2 linked regions of the Lytechinus pictus genome follow. The protein of the gene in region 1 purifies or fractionates together with the protein of each later gene. This does not show direct contact. Links are inferred from orthologs where the notes say so. Each region holds a gene or a part of one and is shown in the gene's direction. Other genes may lie near its edges.

Region 1 (3,759 bases):
GTGTTAAAATCTGGTTTCAGTAAAGGTCAAATTGTTTCTTTTTTCACTAATTAAAGGTTAATTGATATAATATGGGCAAATATCTCGTCGTAATAGTGCTTGGTTATTGATGTTTTGTCATGCATTCAAACTTCAGTTTGTTTATTAATATGAAACATGAAAAGTTGATACAAATGAATATTCGTAAAATTTCACCCCTCGGATTTCTTCATTGAAACTGGCGGCTTCGAAGGCGGACATCAAAAAGGTCCTTATTGCCGTTCTTTCTTTTGTGCTTCTTTAGAAATGAACAGCTGCTTGAATAAATTTGTTGCCTGTTGGAACTCTAGTCATAGAATCTTCTTGGCTTAACCCAATCAGGGTTCCCAATTTTTCAAAACAAAAATCCCTGATTTTTCTATGATGAAGTTTAAAAATTCCCTGATTATTATTTAAACCTATTCCCAGTTTCTCATGTTTTTTAAGTTGTTGCAGTGGATTACTTGTATTATTATTTTTTTATATACATGTAGGCCTACTTTTATGTTTAATTATGTACCATGAGGCCTACTTGTACTGTAGTAAAAGAGGCTACACTAAAAAAAAAAACACCATAAAATGTCATTCAATGAATGTTGTTTTAATATACAACAAAATATAACAGTGTCTGACTGGCTATCGTGCTTTCGACTTTTGGGCCGATCAAGATCCCCTGATTTTGCCCTCATTTAAGGCATTTTCCCCTGATTTGAGGTAATTCCCTGATTTTTCCCTGACTGGAATAATAAAAAAGAAATCCCTTATTTCCTTGATATCCCTGATGGGCTGGGAACCCTGCCAATCCATTTTAAGGAGGAGGCGAAGAAGTAGTTAAAAAAACAGAATTAGAAGATTATATAAGATTAATGACTACTGTGGTGATAACTGATAAAGATCGGCAAGCGTAGGCTATACTATGTTATTACACGTCAGAATGAGTCATGGCTGCCACCAAGATGGTCGATGTGATGTTGTCGCAGCTAACCCAATAAACCTGTATAGTGTTATCAAACTGGTCTGTTATATGCCTCCAAACTCACTATTGAAATAACTAAACAAAATATTCATAACAATACATGATCTAATGGCTTTGTAACTTTTGGAATACCCAAGCTGGATAACTATTGCTTATTTTACATCAACTTCAAGTATTGTCCATAACATATGGTGCATACTTGTAACAATGATTTAAAAGAGGCATAAACATGTTTACCAGATACGTATCCACACAATTATAGTAATTCGTTCCTTTCTTCATAATGTTATTCTGATAAAACCCTGCCATTCGATCATTATAAGCTACAAGGTCCCCAACTTATTGTTCTTTAAATGTGCATGCAATGATGTAATGATGTGCATGCAATGATGTAATGATGAGTATGATATAGTTTTCATCATCATCTATATTATCGATATATACCGGTAGGCCTAATTATAAGAATTATATTTGATTAGAATAATTCATTTGATGAGCAACTATCTCGTCATCGATAGACTTTCACGTCGAGGTTTTGCGCCCAGCAGCCCTACCCCAGCTCTACCCCTCCGGCCCGTCCTCCGGATCCTGGCGTCATGTATTAACTGATCCATGATATGTATCCATTACTTACAATATTTGTTAATTCTAAAATCAAATAAATGATAATGAATTATTTGATTTGATTTGATTTGATTTGATTTGATTTTATTCACCAACGATAACAACATATTTACAGATGTTTACATATTACATTATTATGTCATGCATATAAATATTACAGAAATGAAACATACATGTATATGTTAAGAGCTGATAAAAGGGACCAGAAAATAGCACAAGTGCTAATCGAGCCTGGCCCCTATACATATTAGTAATATAGGCGAATATTGAACTTTAAAGTATGTTTTTTTTAAAAAAAACAACAAAAACAACAACTACAAAAAAAAAAAAAATAATAAAATTATGAGTGTAACATTTATGTTATATACAGAGCAATATGATAAGTTATTGATTTAATAAATGATTTTGTAATGAATTCCTGAAATCGTTTCTGGATACTTTTAGTTTGATGGCTAATGGTACATTATTCCAGTAATCACTTCCTAAGAAAGATAGAGAGAATTGTCCTTGAGTAGTCCGTAATTTTGGTAAATGTACTTGTCGACCTTCTTTTTGTCTTGTTGGGTATCTATGCTCTATTACATCGCAATAATCTACTAAAGAGTGAGGTAAGTTATTATTACCCAGGTCATACATGAAGGTACATATAGATAAATTGTGCATTTCAAATACATTTAGGATCTTTAAATTCTGAAATAATACACGTGTATGAGCTCGCCACTCACTGAATGTGATGGCACGTACTGCCATTTTTTGGGTGTAAAATATACAATTTAAGCTACTCTTGTAAGTACTCCCCCACACCTCGATTCCATAAGTTATGTGTGGCTCTATGAATGCCTTGTATAATAAATGGACATTAGACCAAGTGTGAATTAGACCAAGTGCCGATAAGCCCAACTGGGCATTAGACCAATTGGTGATTAGACCAAGTGGTCATTAGACCAAATGGATTAGACCATTTGGCTATTAGACCAAGTGGTCATCAGACGAATTGTATATTTGACCAAATGAGAATTAGCCCAACTGGTTATTAGCCAAAATGGAAATTAGACGAATTGGATATTAGACCAAGTGGGAATTAGACAAATTGGATATTAGCCGAACTGGTTGCAGACGAAATGAGTTTAGACGGTGTAATGTTAGAGGCGCACGGCCACTTTATAGTCTAAAGTATTGGGAGACTCTCTCCCATATTGGAGACTTGGGACAACGTGAGACAGGTTACTGATATATCGCTAAGTGGCAAAAACATGCGCTTATCGACAGGACTAGATCTAGGTTATCGATAACAGCACTAATTTGTTGTCACTTTAAATGATTTCCAAAAAGTGTTAGCAATAATAATCTAAAAGTATGTTTTTGAAGGTATTACATTTATTGGTGTCCATATTTTATCAAACAATTAGCCTGTAGCCTTGCGCATGCAATGAATTTAGACACAGTTATAAAACGAGCTGAATTAAGGTTGTGAATATCATTAGCACCACCATCGAGCTTCCTTTTATTCTGTGAAAGAGGATGTACATTAGAATGCAAAGCCACTTTCCAGGCCGAGGTAAGCGATTTTGCTCTTTTTTTTGTATTGGTTTTAACGTGCATAGGTTGTGACTCTCCTATACACGGGACCAACATTTGCGTCCTTTCCGATGGACGGAGTGTTTTCCAACTGCATTCACACCCTCACTGAACACAGCGGTGAGGCACGCTAACATACAATGCTAGCATAAGATTTTTTTTGTTAAACGTCTTCCGGCATGCTGCGGGACTCGAACCCACGCACGTTGAGATCTACGATCTTATCCGGAACAGGCGCTCTAACCGACTGAGCTACCCTGCCTCCTGAAGAGTTCCGGTGAGTAGTAAAAAGGTGTTTCGGCAAATTTTATTTCTGTAGTGTAATGAAGCGATGTTTGTCGACTTCTTCAAAATCCAGACCCAAACACGGTTCGGTGTGCGAGGTTAGTATAGCATACTAACCTCGCAATCGTATGAGTGGTCTAAAGTGTTACGCGAAGTCAGTGAAGTGTTCTGTCTTCCCGTTCTAGAGTCTTTCATTCACTCAGAGGTTGAAAAGTTCAAAGCATGTAGATTTTTTTTTAATTGTTTTTTACTTGTTGCTGCTTAGAAGTAAAATATTG
Region 2 (3,759 bases), on another chromosome or scaffold:
GACTTTTTGTTGGAATTTTTGCTTTCCACTTTTTTTTCTTGGTCATTATTTTTTCAATTGAGTGGGAGGGGAGCATCCCAGAGCCCCCGCCCATCTGTATGGCACTGTTCAAAAGGCACCATAACTTTTGTAGCACATAATGAAAGGATTTGAAAAAAAAATACACGCTCTCCCATACTTCGGTTAGTAAAGAATTGTTTTTGCTAGAAGGAATATTCAAAGCTAGAGAACATATTAAAAAGAAACAACAACAGGACAATTCAAGCAAATAAATAGATTTGAAAATGATTTTTGACCGCATAATTTGAAAATTATGGCAAAGATAATGAAAAGGTTAAGGGGAAATCTATACTGATTAGCAATAAGTCCGATCATCATATTTCTCATTTTATGCCAGTTTGGCGCAAGCCTCCTTTATAACCCCAGACAAAAACATTCCGTGTTTGCTCAAGCATGAACAAAATTTGATTTTTAAAATGGCATTTGAACGATAAGACTTCAGAGCACATATTAACACCAAAATATATGGACATCATAATTTGAAACAAAAATTTTATAGACTTTTCAAATCTGTCCCGTTTTTTTTAATACGCACTGTATATGCAGTCTTCTTCCATGTTGGACAACGCTGGAATAGGGTTCAGCGAACCAAGATACCCCCCCCCCCCCCCCCCGCTTATCTACGGGTCTGATCTTGGAGCAGCACATACATGTAACTGTTTTTGTTAAATGTAGGATCTAAACGTTTTTTTACCCGATATTATATAGAGTTATTACCACCGTCGTGTAGTTTAATTTCAGTTTGTGCTTTTGTAAACACTGTGCTAAAAAATAGGTAGGTATAGGTATCATTTTTCGTCTTCCAGCTTTATAATCCTTATTGGTCGCACGCTATAGTCGCCGGTCGTAACACCCATACGCACACGTACGTACATACACGGCATACACCTGTGGCTTATTTGGAATGAATGAATGAGTCGTCAATAAAGCAAAATTCAACATGGCTCTGCCTTTCAAGCTTTCATGCACTCTTGCTGGCCACGAATCTGATGTACGAGCCGTTGCTGCTGGTTTATTCCCGGAAGGATCAATCATAACTGCATCCAGGGATAGAACAACTAGATTATGGGTTCCTTCTTTAAGGTAAATTAACAGGCAAAAAAAACCCAGACACACAAAAATAACAGACACCGCGCCGCAGTCAAGACAAAGTAACGTAACTTACAGACTTAAACTTCTTCTGCACTGCACAAAACTAGACACAGACACAGTTGCGCCACTCGCAGTCGCACTGCTAAGCCTAGGGCAATATGTACAGTACAGTGCGAGTCAGAAAAAATGTTACACTTTTTATTTCAAAGAAAATGTGGGTTTCAGAGAGAAATACATTAAGCCTGAGTCGAATCGATTTTAAAATCAGTGTTCGATCGATGTCATCGTCATCGACCGCCGATGCAGATTTTGCAAAATCGGTGCATCAAAAAAAAATTAAAAGAAATACGTCGGCCGGCCGATTCGTTTGGTTCACACAATCAATCATCAAAATAAACAGTAATGTCTAACTTTACTACTACTTGATTTATATTGCCCCCAAAATGAAACCGATTGTGTAATTATGAATATGATGCCTATTCACCATTTGAAGTTTATTTCGATCATACTTAGTTCTTGTCTGCTCGTGCCGAGATAATTTATGCACGATGAATTCATGAATGGAAGTCGCCATCGATCGTGCATGCGCAGTACTGTGCTTTATTATAAACCAGAAAATGGCCGGAAAATTGACGCGATCAACGTAAAATAAATCTTGCTTTCATGAACAATATTAATATCAATTATTACCATAGAACATGATTTAATCGTAATATTTAACAATATTATAATCTGCATATGATAATCATTAATATGAATTTAGATCTTGATGTGAAACGTTTGTATTTCGTTTCAATTTTCAATGACGGACATCACATGACGATCGACTTGAGTGAGTGCACTTGTCTAAAAAAATAATTATCACGTCAGGATTGATTCTCGAACATTGTCAACATGCAGAAACTCTTTTCAAGATCGTAATATCACCATATAGGCCCTAATAACATTTAACATGACAAAACAGAGAAAATTGCGTTTGATATTTTTTCCCATCAATTTGAAGCTAGTTTGTGCCTAGACCAAAAGCTTCGGTCTCTGTTATGTTGGTTGTTTAGCTGAACTCCGTTGGCTTCACTCACCAAATACAGAGACCGAAGTTCTAGCGTGATCTGTACAGGGGACTCAATGGCCATATGTTTATGTGTATTAAGTTTGGATAAAACAGGGCAGTGAAGTTGCGCGACAGCCGAGGTAAGTCACTGTTTTTGTTCCTTTTAACTTGATTTTCCCCGTTTTTTGGCAATTAATGCCAAGAGGGAATATTAATTTGCATTTCGGTCACGTTAATTTTCAAAAGTTTGATTCATTAAAGACAAAAATTGAAGAGCCCCGACAGGGGGATTTTGCATTGTAAGTCCCATAATGGTGGCTGCACGATAGCGAGCCGTCTGTGTATGAGGAGAAATTTAAAAAATAAAAACATGTTAAAAAACTCCTCGAAACAGACGGCTGCCAGCTGTCTAGTTTGTGCCCAACTTTGGGCTCTGATTTCATGAATGGAAAATATGTCATACGTCATCGAGCGCGCATGCGCATTGTGCTTCTTTTCTCGGAGCTCGGAGACGTCCAGAGATAGAATAAAAATAATGCCAGTATAATACTATCAATTCTTCCATATGAACATAACATACTTTGCTGACATCGTCAATATTTTTAGTATGGCCATAAAATTTTATTAAATCGTAATTATTTAACATCCAATAATAATTTGTATGAATTTAGAGCTCGATCCGAGACATCCCTTAATTTCGATCGCATGCTTTTGTGTCTAAAATAAAAAAATGGGTTATCATTATCAGGATTAATTCTTTAACATCGTCATAACTCATATTCTACAATCTTTCCTCACAATCGTTATATCAACATTGAATACCAATTCAAATGACCATCCAGAGAAAATTACATATTTATTCCCATCAATTTATTTGGAGCTCATTTTGGATCCAACTACACAATCTCAGGCTGCGGACGGGGCTGGTGTGTGCGAGTATGGACTGCGAATGCTAGTTGACCGAAAATCATTCGGATCGACTCTGCGTGATTCATGTCTTTAATATTGTTTCATTTTAAACTTATATGTTGTCATCTGCAAATATCATTGTTGAAGATATTTTGGGAAGAATTCTGCATTGGTCCCCGGCCTTTTTTGTGTTTTGTGATCATGGAAAATACAAACGAACTTTGCTCTGTCATCTGCTTGTGCAACGCTCACCCGGCGGCGCGGCCAGCGCTTCCCGCCGTCAGTCAGTGCATGCAGTGCATCGACCGGAGCAAAAAAAATTACTCGATTTTCCCCGCCCTCAAAATTTGATGCGTCGATGTTCGATCGAATTAAAGCTGTCGAACACCGGTTTTCAAAATAATTAATATGACTCGGGCTGAAAATACATGCTCAAACGTCATTATCGTGATCCAAGTCCCTGGTGACTCGGATACACGGACAATTTTTCACAACGTAAAACATGTCTTACCTGTCTCTACCAACCTCGTAGTTGTGTGTCACTTGTCTCTTTTCAGTCTCCACTTTATTGGCGTAATAAACCAGAATTGCATCTTCTTCTTTTCAATCTCTTGCTTTAGTTCGTAAACTAGTAATTTTCATATAAA

Evidence for each region. Proteins that work in one complex are often made in the same cells at the same time.
Region 2: the proteins of histone deacetylase 6-like (region 1) and phospholipase A-2-activating protein-like purify together in Homo sapiens (affinity purification with mass spectrometry; 4 studies listed by BioGRID and IntAct, with this or other methods). This does not show direct contact. The link is inferred for Lytechinus pictus from reciprocal best matches to the Homo sapiens genes HDAC6 and PLAA.

Annotation. Positions count from the first base shown.
Region 1 is NC_087247.1:75,157,642-75,161,400, reverse strand, and holds the start of histone deacetylase 6-like, read left to right. Parts: upstream 1-1,507; 5' UTR 1,508-3,759.
Region 2 is NC_087255.1:20,579,116-20,582,874, reverse strand, and holds the start of phospholipase A-2-activating protein-like, read left to right. Parts: upstream 1-935; 5' UTR 936-1,000; coding exon 1,001-1,143; intron 1,144-3,759. UniProt on the Homo sapiens protein: Plays a role in protein ubiquitination, sorting and degradation through its association with VCP. Involved in ubiquitin-mediated membrane proteins trafficking to late endosomes in an ESCRT-dependent manner, and hence plays a role in synaptic vesicle recycling.